Xenopus tropicalis: one gene and its partners. The protein of the gene in region 1 interacts with the protein of each later gene in a biochemical or structural test. Links are inferred from orthologs where the notes say so. Each region holds a gene or a part of one and is shown in the gene's direction. Other genes may lie near its edges.

Region 1 (4,767 bases):
GAGTTGGATCTTGGCTTGCATCCAAAAAAACCTTTGAAGCCAGTCAGGTCGGTTACTGATTCTCCCCCTCCTCTTTATGTATTCATGATTGATATAAAATATATTTTTGTGATTCATAATCTGGAGTCAGATACTGCAATACTATATATCAATGGAATGTTCACCATATTCCCCAGGTAATTTAAAGAATGTCTGACCAGAATACAGTATCAGGTTAACAGTGTAAAAAAAAGGTAGTTCTGTTATTTTGTGAGCCTTTTATGGCAGCGTACAATATAGTACAAAAGCAGCAATGTAGTTTCTGTATATTTATTTAAGTGCTTTATTGTATAACCTGTGAAACCGTACAACTGTATCTGTATTGTAAGTAACAGGTAATTCTTTATTAGATCTAAAAGTCATTTTTTTTTCACTCAATATAAGAATCCACACAGAAGACCCGTTGACTGTATTGGCTTTTTGGGCTGTATATTGGCCCAAAATAGTGTAACAACTAATTGTAGAGCAACTAGCCTTGTTTGAAAAATGGGTATTTATTTGTAGCAGTACTTTTCATTCTTGAGTTTCCCAGTCTATAGCTCTTTCACTGTTTCTGAACTAGAACACTAAGTATTTCAGACCAAAGAAAGGCAAAAGGCAGATATTAAAATAATAGGCACTTTCAAAGATTCCTAAAATAGCTAAAAACATAATATTAATAGAGACTTGTAATGCAGAGAAGCCAGAGGATACACTGCTAACAAGCCTAAATAATCTGGTTGTTCATTGTTTAAAACTTTTTGCAAGTAACTGTTCTAGATTTCTAGAGACATACAAAGAGTAAGTGAGAAAAAGCAAGATGTAGGTCAGATAATATGCAAGCCTATAATAAACACAATAATTGTGTTAGTAGAAGGAAATAATGTGTATTTATTCTCATTAACCTAGCCAGATTTTATTTTAACAACTAGTATTATTTGTTGTGTTATAAATTATATTATATGCTAGTTTACGGGTTAATTCAAAATGTGTATCCATTTGTGGTATAAATGTAACTTGCAGCCACTTGGGGAAATTTCACCTAAAGAAATATAAAAAATATTTTTATTGCCTCTTAAGTAATGCATGGATGTAATGTCTGTTTGTACCATTTAAACTGAAGAACATATTACTGAATTGCACTCTAGATCAACCAAATGAGTTCCCATGGTGTTCTTCCTCCATCATTAACTCCAGTTATTTCCAGCATGCAAGACTATGCTAGCTCCAAGAAATCCTCTGCAGACTCATCACAAAGGCATTCTGGTAAATACTGTGCAGTACTACAATTCTATTACCTTTTTACAGTGGCTTGGAGTTATTGTGCCTGTGACATATGTGGCATTAAAGAGAGAAGGAATGGTTCTGAAAAGATAAAGCAGACAAAGAATACTACAGATATACTTTAAAATCATCAGAAAGTCTTGGGTATAATTTTTGAGTCAGTAAATGGTCATTCAGTCTTACTGTCTCTCTGTGCTCGCTGTGCCCTAACTACTATTCTAAAGGTTTAGCATTCAGAGTGTCTGAAATAAATTTGTGTACGCAGTACTGTGATTGATTAGTAGGACCATACGACCATTGCTTGTTTGTCTTTCCTAATATTTTGTTACCATTTCATTTTATTTTTACAACCATTTTGCTAATGGACAATTAAATAAACAAATACATGGTGGAGCCAGTATAAGCAAATACATTCCTTACTCTGAGTACCAGTATTCTGAACTGAACTGCAGTCAAGACTACATGGAAATGCAGTTACTGAACCAGGGTGATGTCTCACCTTCATTTGTTTTCCTTTTTAATGTGTTGTTCTCTATTTACTTGTGTGATATACAGCATGGCAGTGTTGCAGAAGAGAATAATATAGTATTATATATGGCTGTAATCCAGATAACTTGTGGGAAGGAGAAATATGTCTTCAGAGCAAATATCTAGAGACAGCCCCTTTCAGGGGTCACCTATTGTATTTGTCTTTCTATTGTAGTGCTTTGTTTTGTTTTGTTTTTTTATTTTTGCTTTACCTTTAAATTTAGCACTTCACTTTTACTTTTTCAATGAATAAGTATTTAAGATATCTATCCCCTTTAAATACAGGCACAGACTTGGAGCCACGGACTGTAGAAATTAATAGAGTAAGTAAAGAAAAACTACACTTGCTATAATAAGAGTTGGAGGGAAATATACAATGACTTAATACCTTTCCATTTTCACACTTTGTTAGGGCCCTTATGATGCTCTTGGGATCAGTATCGCAGGAGGGAAAGGCAGCCCATTGGGAGATATCCCAGTTTTCATTGCTATGATCCAAGCTAGTGGTGTAGCAGCACGGACACACAAATTAAAAGTAAGTATCTGTTTTTATCACCATGTGACTTTTACGAACAGTAATGACGCATAAGCAAATTATATTTTGTCTTAATAAAAGCACATTATGGTGAGATGGTTCTACATGTTTTACTTCTCTCATTGACCTTTAACCATAATGAAGGAAAACCAAATTATGCCCCATTCTCATCATACTTTGTTTTATTGGTAAACATGGCAATGACCTATAAAAACCAAGTGCCTATGTTAGAATTATGTATGTATATCTTTATTTATAAAGCGCTACTGTACGCAGCGCTGTAAAGTAGAATACATTAATACAAACGGGGTTATTAAGATAATAATAAATTAGATAAAGTTTAACAATAAATAAAAGATATAGTTGCAATAAGTTAAGAGTCAAAGACACAAGAGAATGGAGGTCCCTGCCCCTTAGAGCTTACAATCTATATATTATGCTGTTTCCATAGAAGATATTACTGTAAGGACGTTTTTTGCTTGTACATTTAAGCAGCTTGTTGTAGAGGCAAAGTTTATAGTAGTGAATTGTGCCAATCTGCCCTTTTATTTGTCATTTAACAAAATTCTGTTAATTCTCAATTTGTACTTACTTAATCTTGCAATATTTTCTATTCTCAAAATTGCAAAGTAAAGAAAATATTCAGTACTGCATTATATTTAATAACCATCTTTTGAAATTAATCCTGACCTGTATGTTTTATCATGGGCTTGTGGGGTATAGGTTGGGGATCGGCTTGTCAGCATTAACCAGCAACCAGTGGATGGGCTGTCACATGCAGAAGTGGTTAATATCCTGAAGCATGCATTTGGAACCATTGTTTTGCAGGTATGGTAATAAATGTAAGGCTAATGCCAGACGAGGCGTAGGGCGGATATTTTCGGAAAGCGGAAAAGAGCTTGCTGAAAATTCCGCCCTATGCCTCCTACATGTGCCTGCACCCGAATGAATGAGATACGCTCGGGTGCAGGCACATGTAGCCCATATATATATAATGCAAAGTCTCGTGTTTTTATGCGCATATCGGCTACATGTGCCTGCACCCGAGCGTATCTCATTCATTCGGGTGCAGGCACATGTAGGAGGCGTAGGGCGGAATTTTCAGCAAGCGCTTTTCCGCTTGCCGAAAATATCCGCCCTACGCCTCGTGTGGCATTAGTCTTAAGCCTCAGATGTTTCAGCTGTGAGACATTGATAACTGTCATTCTGTAGAGACTAAGGCTGATGCCACACCAGGCGTAGGGCTGATTTTTTCCGCTTGCCGAAAAAATCAGCCCTACGCCTGGTGTGGCATCAGCCTAACTCCAACTGGCAGCAGAGCTCACTGCACATGTAAGTGCATTCTAGGAGGGCACTCCATGTTACTTAACAAAATGTACAAAATCACTCTGTTTCACATATGGTAAGTACATTTACAAGTTTTCTGCCTTAATCTGAAATTGCAGGATACTGGAAATTATGAATCATCGTTCCTATAATAGTTGGCTTCTGGCTTTATTAATGTGATTATATTAGTCAAATTTGACTGGACTGCCATGGCTTACAGTGTTAACTTTTTTGTTTGATATTTAATAAAACCGATCCCTTGAGAACATTTTACATATCCCTTACCTTTGCAAATAGCAGTAAACAATAAACCTGTTTAAATGATTTTACAAAAAAAAAAAGAGCTACCTTTCCTGCCCAGACAATGCAACAAATATTTTTAAAACATCTCTTTTCTCTTATCTATAAGTGCCTTCAACTACATTGTGTTGACCACCCAGTCAGAATTTCAATTGACTGGAATTATACATGTCTAATTACAGACAAAAAATGTTTTCTACCTTATATTCCTGGACCAAAACTGAGAACAAATAGTGTTACCAGCTTTATAATTGTGACATGTCATGTCAGTAATTTAATTCCTTATCAAGTTACACAACTTCAATACAAGCTGTTGTGAATGGTTAGGTAATTGTGTGCAGTAGTGTGGAAATGCTTATTTCAGTATGTCCTGCACAGAACATTTACGGATTGTACAGATGTTATTAGAAAACAGAAGATTAAGGTCTCAAGGGAGTAATCATCCTATCCTGCTGCTTCATTGCCTCTCTTCAATTTAATCTGCTTTCTGCAGGTGTTGTAATGAGATAAGGGTGTACAGCCTAGAAGGTTGTTTAGTTCTCTTATGGCTTCTAGAAGCAGACCAGTTCTGTCTGTTGATCTTATCATAAAGCAGAAGGTCATTGGCAACCAGAAAAGAACTGTTGAGCATTTACCTTTTACTAGGAATACCCTTCAGTTCAGCTTGACATGCCATATACATTTTGCAAGAAATATTGCAGTGCATACTGGAAAAATGTATAGAATGTGGCTGGACGTATGTTATGTTACATACCTTGTACTGTGCAAGGTCCTTG
Region 2 (5,563 bases), on another chromosome or scaffold:
CATTTTTCCATAAACATGAAGTGCAGGGGTGTACCATGATGTATGAGCCTTCTGTTGAAAAATGCCACCGTCCGCCAGTGAGCAGAGCTATGTGATATCAACACACAAGTTTTCTCTGTCAATGCTTACTGTTTTTACACTCTAAGCCCCACTACTATATGCTGGAAGTGATGTTGATTTACAACAAAGCACCATGCTCCTGTTGTACATACAGTATGCAGAGAAATTAGTAGCAGAAAATTTTTCTTACAGAGGGGCCAATGTGAATGAAGGAACAATGTAGCTGTGAACAGTGCAGCTGCAAATATCACTGTAAATATATAAATGTTTGAAGAACTTTACTGCTGAAGGTTTGACAGAGTAGTCTTACATTAGAAAGCTAGGATCATGTTCAGACAATGTGCTGGCTGTTCAGACAATTTGCTGGCTGAAGAACAAAACAGATACAGTTTCAGATATTCAAGTACTATATGTTAATGTAGAGAAATTAACATATAAAGAGGGTGATTTACTAATGCAGTGCAATGTGCAAAGTGCAAAATTAAAATGGTAGCCGCCATTAGTGCTGAGTGAATCTGTCCCATTTCACTTCGCCAGAATAAAAAAAAATAAAAAGTGGCAAAACAATTCAACGCGCAATCATTTTTTGTGACGCGCATGTGTGATTTTTTTTTTATGAGAAATTTTGCGCCCGTTTCATGAAAAAGTCCACGAAACGCAGAAATTCTACGCGAACCAATGCCTGGCTCATCACTAGCTGCCATCAGTGCTGGGCCAAGGGTATTAGGCACCCAAGGCAAGCCCCACCCTTGATCAAACCCTGACATTCCCTCTGTAGTTGCGCGATGCAGTGATGAGGGGGGAGGAAACAAGTAGGAGTGATGGGCAAGTTGAGATCCCCCTGTGGTGATGAGTAGAAGGTGATTCAATAAGCTATAGTGATAAGCTGGTAGGAGGCAGAACTAGGGGTAGACAGAAGGGAGGGGTACATGCCTAAACCCCCCCCCCCCCCCCCCCCCCGTTCTGTGGGCCTTAGGCACCTGCCTCATCTGCCTTTCCCTGGTTCTGGCCCTGGTTGCCATGATTTTTACTCACAATGCAGTGTTTTCGCAGTTTATTATGTTTAGCAGCATTCCAGTTTCGAATTTTAGCAGCTATCTGGTTGCTAGAATATAAATTACCTTAGGAACCAGGCAGTGGTTTGATTGAACTACCCCTCTAACTTGCACCTACCTCAACTTGCTCATGATGCACCAATAGATACAAATTAGTGGGCATTTTTGGAAATTATGTTCCCTGGATTTGTGTTTGAATGTATCACCTGCGTATGAAGTTAATAAAAGCATTAGCATTTAATGCATTTAATACAAGGAAATTGCAACTATTGCTGCAACCTTGCTGATAGTAATTTCAGGAGCATATATGGAAGCAGGTACCTTTCTGGATTGCACAAATACATTTACAAACTGGGGATCAGGGCACAATGTGCAAAAAAGCAGGAACAAGCAGCCATGTTTTTGCATTGTGCACACCGCCTTTGTCATGATCGCCCAAATGGAACACAAGGACCTATGTTTTCCCAATGAATACAGTGCTGCATTTATAAGGGGTGGGCTAGGGGAAGCTTGTAGGTTTTCCTTAACCCACCCCCTAACTTGCTTGTCATCACATATGATATAAAGAGCGCCAGGGCTGCCTTGCACCCACCAAGCACTGCCCCCAGATACAAGTCCTGGGTAACAGTTAAGTATTTTGTAATTAACAATTTTCTCTTGTGTTTATAAAAAAAGTCTTAGCCTGAAATATTTGTTATGATGTTTTGCCTAACATGTCTTTTATTAGCCCAAACACACAGGGCTAAAACCTCTGACACTGACCGCAACTGAGTTACAAAGTCTGTAATGAGACAGTTTGTCAGCAACCATTACTCTTAATGTGTCTGATTCATTTATTTTTCCACTGCATTGTTTAAAGCTCTTGCAAATTCTATGGCTGTTCTATAGCTTGGTGAAAAACACCTGGCTTAAAAAATATGTATTATGGATGAGGACAAAACAATGACTACATTGCTGGAATCAGCTTTGCTTTTAACTCCCCTGCAGTCAAAGCAAGCAGAAAAAAACATTTGTGGTGTCACAAATGTGGTGGGAGGTGGTGATGAGTCTTTCATTGCAAATGATTATCCTGCTGAGCCAATGCAATTCTAAGGACTGCCACTGGGAGGAGAACTCAAGTCACTTTAAATAAGGCAGATAAGCAGAAGTTTTCAGTTAGAAGATAGACCTGGACGACCACTGATGAACTCTTCCTTCTCCACTTTTTTCTGACTTGAGAAATTTTCAGTCTACATTTACTTAAAGGTCCTCCTTAGACTACAGAAGAGCGGACAAGCTCCTGCTTCAGAGGGTGGCCAAGTGGTAACTTATTTTATCCACTCAAAAGGATGGCCAACGCAGGCTTGCAACTTTTAGGATTCGCCTTAGCTTGTCTGGGCTGGATTGGGTTTATAGTATGTATTGCAATCCCTCAATGGAAAATGTCATCGTTTGCTGGGGATGCCATTATCACAGCACAGATCACCTATGAAGGACTCTGGATGTCTTGTGTAATGCAGAGCACAGGGCAGATGCAGTGCAAAACCTATGACTCGCTGCTGAAGCTGGACAGTAAGTAGATTTTTTTTTAATTTCATTTGATAATATATATTTCTATGGCTATCTTAAATGCTCAAAAGTATGTGTGCATATATATATATATATATATAAGCATGTAGAACACAGAGCACTCATTGGACTTAAATTATGTGCACAAATTGAACGCAGATAATTTTAGGTACATGAGTGCTCTACATGCTGATATTATTTTTGTGGCAGCACCTGGGCCGCAGCACCTGGGCGTGTGCACTGTCTTTCAAAATCTCTCCCTCTCTCTCTTTCTCTCTCTCTCTTTCTCTCTCTCTATCTCTCTCTCTATATATATATACAGGTAGGGGACCCGTTATACAGAATGCTTGGGACCTGGGGTTTTCTGGATAAGGGGTCTGTCTGTAATTCAGATCTTCTACATTAAGTCTACTGAAAAAATTATTTAAACAGTAATTAACCCCAATAGGATTGTTTTGGCTCCAACTAGGATTCATCATATCTTAGTTGGGATCTAGTACAAGGTTCTGTTCTATTATTACAGAGAAAAAGGGAAACCATTTATAAAAATGGGAATTATTTGATTAAAGTGGAGTCTATGGGAGATGGCCTTTCCGTAATTCAGATATTTCTGGATAATGGGTTTCCGGATAAGGGGTCCAATACCTGTATATCAATTTATACATGCTCTGATATGTTTGGTCCAGGCCTTTGTCCTTTTACATTCCCTTCTTTGTTGATAGTCCACTACTTTACATTTGAAACAAGAATTTTTGATGACAACAGAGAAACTGAGCTATAAAAATTGATGGATAGAGTATGTGTAATTATACTCTAAGTGCCACTACACCTTTGACAACGAATCATCCAGTTATTACCAATGAAATGACAAGTTTATGTTGGTGTTATAAAATACCAGCTTCAATTTAAATATTATTATAATACATTGGCATGGTGTTTATCTTAACTTGCTGGTAATATGACAAAATAATTGTAGCCTGCTGAAAATCATGAATTCTAAGTCAATAAGTAAAACACATTTGTTTCGAGGTAGAAATGCTATTAGGCTTGGCAAGATCACCTTCTATTGATGGCTCATTGATAAGCAGCCTGCTTATTTCATTGCGATTTATTGGATTTATTGGGTTTATTGGGTTGACCACAGTTAGGTACCTGGTTTTATATGAAATAGTCTAAACGTGACATGACAGCCATCTGGCTATGGAAAACATTGAACATAAGTATATTAGGTTGTCCAAAGAGAAGGTACCTGGTGTTATATGAAATAGTCCATAACACTAACCATGAAATGAAGAATGCCTCAAGTTACAGAACTCCTGAAGATTTGTTTTGTGATGTATTAAAAAACAGGAGTGCTGAACCTTCTAGTGAATCATAACTCCCAGTATCCTCTAATAGCATGCAAACAATAGAGGATGTTGGGAGTTGCTATTTCCAGCAGCTGCATGGTATCATATTTTGTTTTAATACTGCCAGAGTACATGCTTCATTTGTAGTGTCCATGAACAGCTTGAGGCCATGTTCAGGTTTTATGAACATTTTTCAGAACAGAATGACCCTGTGTGGCAGTTGTAAATGGGTTAAAAGGATCCACTTGAGAACACAAGAGAATTATATATGAAAATAGCTGCCTCCTTGCTGGACACCCTAGTATTGTTTATAAAGGGCTAGAGTTAGGTATTTTTCTTTGCACAAAGGATAACATCCTTCCTAAGGGAATGTTGTTTTTGGATAACTCAAAGACTGGGAGCCCATATGGGGGGCAGGATTCTTTTTCTTATGTTTCTTAGATGTTGATAGTTCACCAGTTATTCTAAGTTCACAAAGCAGAGAACAAGCAGCCCCTCCTGCAAGATTCCTTCATAATACAATCAGTTAAGGTGTGTCCTGCTTATAATACACTGATACCCCTGTGTAGCATCCAAAAATATTTGATCATTCTTTATACAATAATCTTTCATTTATGTTTTTTATTATTATTTAATATGATTTTATCAGTATATGTTGGACAATACAGATAACAATTAGTTAGTAAAACTAAGACACACAACCATAAAGGAGACTTGTAACCTCAAAATCAACTGAGGACATCTACACTTAATCCCAAACACTGGTCCTTTTAATACTAATAAGAAAGCAACTTTCTCTGACAATGCCAATGTGCCAAATGCATTTGGCCTGGATGAGAACAAATGTTTATGCCTGGTTAATGTTTCAGGAATATGTAGCTGTTGTAAGTAAGCAGAATAGCCTGACAGTTAAAGCAAAAGTCTTAATTATTAAAAGACATTGCTTAAGGAACTGAACAGTCCTTGTCTCTTGCAAATCTTCCTGCCCTGGTAGAAGCACAGGACTCTGCAATGGATCTAAGGTGCTATCATTAGTCTGCATTAGGGCTGACATTGCATATTATTTTATTATTATTCTTTATTTATTAAGAACCAATATTCAAACATTTTATAACAAGAAGGGAGCTGTAAAGCAAGTTAGGTTATACTGAGGAACAAATGTAATGTTCTACTGAACTCATTCAAAAAACCATTTTGGAACATGTAAAGAAGACCAATCCCTGCTTTAATTGCTCAGTCTCATTCTTGTATAGGTGAGTAGCTGCAAGACACAAAACAAGCAGGTTCTCACAAATTTGTGCTGCTCAGACAAGATCAAACCAGCCAAAACATTTGCCCTGAAGGCTGCATGCTTTACACAAATTAGCCCTCCTCCCTTGTGTGAAACAGACATTTGTAACAGCTTAGTTTCTAATCAAATCAAAGTTGTCTTGAAATACATTACTGTCCTGCAGTTTGGTCATAAACTATAGCAAATGTCCCCATCTCGTATTGGTAAGCACTGGTTATGTAATGAATGGCTTTTACTCAGAGGTCTCAAATTTCTTTTTA
Region 3 (5,208 bases), on another chromosome or scaffold:
TATTTTCACTAACTTATTTTTATATGAAATGTTTGTGACACAAGTCAGTGTATATTCTATATCTGACAGGGATTTGTATATTTATTTTTAACTGCTGTTGTAGCTGTTGTATTGAAGTTACTCCAGACTCCTAAAAGCATGCATAAACACATATTTTAAAGCACTTTAAAGAGGCCCAACGAAAGTGCACCCAAAGCTTAACAATCAGAGACATTATTTGCATTTTTGAATGAGTTTGTTGCATAGGAATAAATGTAATTTGCCTATTGGGTACATACCCAGAGAGGGATATGGTTTCTGCCCTGTGTCAAAAGCAGACTTTTCCACAGAAAATGTCACCTATTATGAAATAATAGTAGACAAAATGAATGTAACTAGCCCTACAGATGTTAAATTAATTTTGACCAAAATCTGCTTGGAATTGAGCCAGCGCCGGCTTGTGGATACAAGAGCTTGCAATCTAATTCTTCTCATTCTTGGATAATACTAGGAACTATACTTCCAACCAAGGACAAAGCATCACCCATTAGGGCTGATTCACTAAAGTGCGTTAAAACATGCGTTATTTATAGCATGCATAAAAAATGTTATCGCGTCTAATTTTTCGCGTCTTAGCGCACGATTCACTAAAAGGATATTTGCGCTAATTTACGCGCGATACTGCTTGCGTTATTTTAGTCACGAAGACTATTTTCATGCAGTATTTGATGGAACGAGCGCTAATCAACGCACCGCGTATAAATAGTTGCCGCGTGTGAAAAAACGCACGCCATGTTAGCCGTACATGCCAATACTTTCGGAAAATTACTGTACTGAAAATGCCCATTTCCCTGCAAACTGGCGGCTGCATCACTCTGGGGCCAACACAGACTTGAATAAATCTCACTGCAAAGTCCATATTGTGTTGCCAAAAGCTCATTAACTGTACTTTTCTATAATTACCGCCTGCCTCAAGTAGGTGTTAATTTTCGCACAGACTAATGCGATATTTAGCGTGTCTCAGTGTTTGTGAATCATGCGTTAGTATTTATTTCTGCTTGCAAATTAACGCATGCGGTAGCGCGAAATTTAACGCATGCGATATGCGACTTAATGCACGCGATACTATTGTAGCGAATTGCGTGTTCATTTTTGTGTCTATTTTAACGCAAAAAAGCATGTGATAAAAATTAACGCACTTTAGTGAATCAACCCTATTGGCTTTTGTTGTCTAATTCCCGTGACTTCTAGAAGGAAACTTATAGTTACCATAACTGGAAGTGGAGTGGATCAGGGCTCTAGAACCTGTGGCAAGAAATGAGGTCCAGGAGCCGCTCCTCTATCCAGTTGTAGTGAATAAACCTAATTTACCATGATGCAACCTAGTGATGGTCAGCATTGGCCCAAATTCCTCAGCTTTACCGCAACCAGTATCATGGAGATCCCTATTGCTGGCATCAGTGACAGGGAGGGATCCTATTATAAGGGCAGGCACAGGAACTAAAGCAACAGGTCCAACTGACCCAAGCCAAGCCATTGACCTAAGCAGCCCATAGGAGGACCTGGCACACTGGGAACCAATTTGTCTATTGTACAGCAGCAGTTTACCTTGAATGAAATGTTAGCTTGATGCATGTTGTATTCAGAAATGTAAAACAAAATGACAATGGCATTACATATCCTGTGCATCCAGGGACAGAGTAGTCAGAATTTGTTTTAAAGTAAACTCTCCTATGAAGGAGTATAATATAATATTTTGTGCTGATTCCTGAGAGGTGGGGAAGCAGATTGTGCTGCACTGGCCTTTCCTTGTTCGGGTGTAGCTCTCAGAGCTTTGGCATCTGATACAAGACATGCAAATGGGAGTCATTTTAAGTTCCGCTTCCCATAAAGCTGCTGTTTCCCCCGGGGGAAGTTCTGTCACTGTCACAGTGTAATATTTACTTATCCAAACAGCTCCCACCGACTCCCCCCTCAGGCACCTCTGCCTTTCACTCTGCCTTTAGCTCTACCCTTAGCTCTGGGCTGTGCCCGATAGCTGGATGCGCCACCTATGGTTGCTGTTGGTACTGCAGGAGGCGGTGCGCTGGTGGGAGAGTTGCGCTCTCTGAAAGCCGCCTGGTGGGACAGTTCTGCCGGAGGGAGACGGGCTGAATCCGGCGGGATTAGCTGCTGTGCGCTGGGAGGGAGGGAGACCAGGAGCCTAAGGAGGAGGAATAGCGGCACCGGAGAGAAGTCCGGAGTATAGGGACACGAAAAGAGCCGACTGTCGTGGCGGCGGGAGAGGGTAGAAAGTTAGGAAGGAAAGGTAAGAAAAAGTGATGATTTGCTGCTGCCACTGTGGGGCAGGGGAGAAATAGAAGGCAGGGGAAGGTACGGGAGCAGTCAGAATGTAGGCAGGGAAAGTACGCGAAAAGTGAGTATAAATGGCCGGGAAAGTTGGGTAATACTGTAGGGAGGGCAGAATTGTGGGAAGGGAAAGGTGAGGGGCAATTGATGGCAGTGTAAGTAGGGGATAAGGATACGTAATAGTGTCGGTAGGAGAAGGGGAAGTGTGGGCAGGGGAGAAATAACTGTGTGGGCAGGGAGTTATGGGGATAAGTACTGATAGCATGGGCAGGTAGGTAGGGGGAAATAACTGTGTGGGCAGGGAGTTATGGGGATAAGTACTGATAGCATGGGCAGGTAGGTAGGTAGGGGAGAAATAACTGTGTGGGCAGGGAGTTATGGGGATAAGTACTGATAGCATGGGCAGGTAGGTAGGGGGAAATAACTGTGTGGGCAGGGAGTTATGGGGATAAGTACTGATAGCATGGGCAGGTAGGTAGGGGGAAATAACTGTGTGGGCAGGGAGTTATGGGGATAAGTACTGATAGCATGGGCAGGTAGGTAGGTAGGGAGAAATAACTGTGTGGGCAGGGAGTTATGGGGATAAGTACTGATAGCATGGGCAGGTAGGTAGGTAGGGAGAAATAACTGTGTGGGCAGGGAGTTATGGGGATAAGTACTGATAGCATGGGCAGGTAGGTAGGTAGGGAGAAATAACTGTGTGGGCAGGGAGTTATGGGGATAAGTACTGATAGCATGGGCAGGTAGGTAGGAGGGGAATAACTGTGGGGGCAGGGAGTTATGGGGATAAGTACTGATAGCATGGGCAGGTAGGTAGGGGGGGAATAACTGTGGGGGCAGGGAGTTATGGGGATAAGTACTGATAGCATAGGTAGGTAGGTAGGGGGGAAATAACTGTGTGGGCAGGGAGTTATGGGGATAAGTACTGATAGCATAGGTAGGTAGGTAGGTAGGTAGGTAGGGGGGAAATAACTGTGTGGGCAGGGAGTTATGGGGATAAGTACTGATAGCATAGGTAGGTAGGTAGGTAGGGAGAAATAACTGTGTGGGCAGGGAGTTATGGGGATAAGTACTGATAGCATGGGCAGGTAGGTAGGGAGAAATAACTGTGTGGGCAGGGAGTTATGGGGATAAGTACTGATAGCATGGGCAGGTAGGTAGGTAGGGAGAAATAACTGTGTGGGCAGGGAGTTATGGGGATAAGTACTGATAGCATGGGCAGGTAGGTAGGGAGAAATAACTGTGTGGGCAGGGAGTTATGGGGATAAGTACTGATAGCATGGGCAGGTAGGTAGGGGGGGAATAACTGTGGGGGCAGGGAGTTATGGGGATAAGTACTGATAGCATAGGTAGGTAGGTAGGGGGGAAATAACTGTGTGGGCAGGGAGTTATGGGGATAAGTACTGATAGCATAGGTAGGTAGGTAGGTAGGGGGGAAATAACTGTGTGGGCAGGGAGTTATGGGGATAAGTACTGATAGCATAGGTAGGTAGGTAGGTAGGGGGGAAATAACTGTGTGGGCAGGGAGTTATGGGGATAAGTACTGATAGCATGGGCAGGTAGGTAGGTAGGGGAGAAATAACTGTGGGCAGGGAGTTATGGGGATAAGTACTGATAGCATGGGCAGGTAGGTAGGTAGGGGGGAAATAACTGTGTGGGCAGGGAGTTATGGGGATAAGTACTGATAGCATGGGCAGGTAGGTGGGCAGGGGAGAAATAACTGTGTGGGCAGGGAGTTATGGGGATAAGTACTGATAGCATGGGCAGGTAGGTAGGTAGGGGAGAAATAACTGTGTGGGCAGGGAGTTATGGGGATAAGTACTGATAGCATGGGCAGGTAGGTAGGTAGGGGAGAAATAACTGTGTGGGCAGGGAGTTATGGGGATAAGTACTGATAGCATGGGTAGGTAGGTAGGGGAGAAATAACTGTGTGGGCAGGGAGTTATGGGGATAAGTACTGATAGCATTGGCAGGTAGGTAGGCAGGGGAGAAATCCAGCAGGGCATATGGGTGGAAGGGACAGTGGGTGGGTGGCACCAACATTACACCTATTATATACGGAAAGGGGTAGGGGTGTCTGGGGGCTGTCAGGATAACTTTCCTGGAGATATTTTTTTATTATTGCGCAAGGGCAATTTACCCTTACTAATGAGGCATTAGAGCAGATTCACCATTCTCCTTTTTGTATCTTTTCCCTTACACCAACTTTTCCTCCACTAATTGGCAAGGAGCAAACCAGGATATCTGCATTTATCAGTGCTCATGTTAATGTCTCATTAGTAAATGCAATTAACTCGCTGCAATTTTATCATTTTCTTTAATAGAATTGCACCTCCTCCCATCGGTCTGTTGCCTCCAGGCTGGGCAGTGTGCTGCTATAAGAGCTTGGAGATCCAGTGCCCAAACAGTGTGCAATAAGCGTGACAGGACCAAAGCAAAGGGCCCGTGGGTGTGTATATATCCGAGTCAGAATCAAGGTGTGTGTGTGGATCAAGAAGCTGCTCCCCAAGGCTGTATTGGCTGCCCGGCACCTTGGAATGGCAGAGGGAAAGGAACATGTCCTGGCAGAGCTCTAGTTCCACCGCTCCTTCTGTGTAACCTTCTCGCCAGCTCCCTGCTGCTCACCTGAATCATCTGCTTGACTGCAACCTGAGGTAAGCACAGCCGGCAGGCACAGTTTAACCCATCGCTGACTGTCTGGCCTGAAGTGTGTTGCTGGCCTACAGATCCAGGAACTTAGTTGTTAAACGTGTATTATTCTGCTGAGGGCTTTCCGCAATTTTGAAAAGTTTAGTTCAACTTCATAATTTTGAATTTCCTGGTGTCACAGTGCACTGTATGTTATGATTGTATTACAGTGGCCCTTGCTTTCCTCTACTG

The links. The genes of interacting proteins can lie anywhere in the genome.
Region 2: the proteins of patj (region 1) and cldn1 form a complex in vitro, tested with the Homo sapiens proteins (2 studies listed by BioGRID and IntAct, with this or other methods). The link is inferred for Xenopus tropicalis from reciprocal best matches to the Homo sapiens genes PATJ and CLDN1.
Region 3: the proteins of patj (region 1) and tanc1 interact in a test that uses a peptide from one of them, tested with the Homo sapiens proteins (2 studies listed by IntAct, with this or other methods). The link is inferred for Xenopus tropicalis from reciprocal best matches to the Homo sapiens genes PATJ and TANC1.

The regions. Positions count from the first base shown.
Region 1 is NC_030680.2:85,651,483-85,656,249, reverse strand, and holds part of patj (inaD-like protein), read left to right. Parts: coding exon 1-47; intron 48-1,166; coding exon 1,167-1,284; intron 1,285-2,115; coding exon 2,116-2,153; intron 2,154-2,242; coding exon 2,243-2,365; intron 2,366-3,088; coding exon 3,089-3,193; intron 3,194-4,767.
Region 2 is NC_030681.2:104,248,104-104,253,666, reverse strand, and holds the start of cldn1 (claudin-1), read left to right. Parts: upstream 1-2,292; 5' UTR 2,293-2,443; coding exon 2,444-2,666; intron 2,667-5,563.
Region 3 is NC_030685.2:73,466,788-73,471,995, reverse strand, and holds the start of tanc1 (protein TANC1), read left to right. Parts: upstream 1-1,937; 5' UTR 1,938-2,287; intron 2,288-4,652; 5' UTR 4,653-4,982; intron 4,983-5,208. UniProt on the Homo sapiens protein: May be a scaffold component in the postsynaptic density.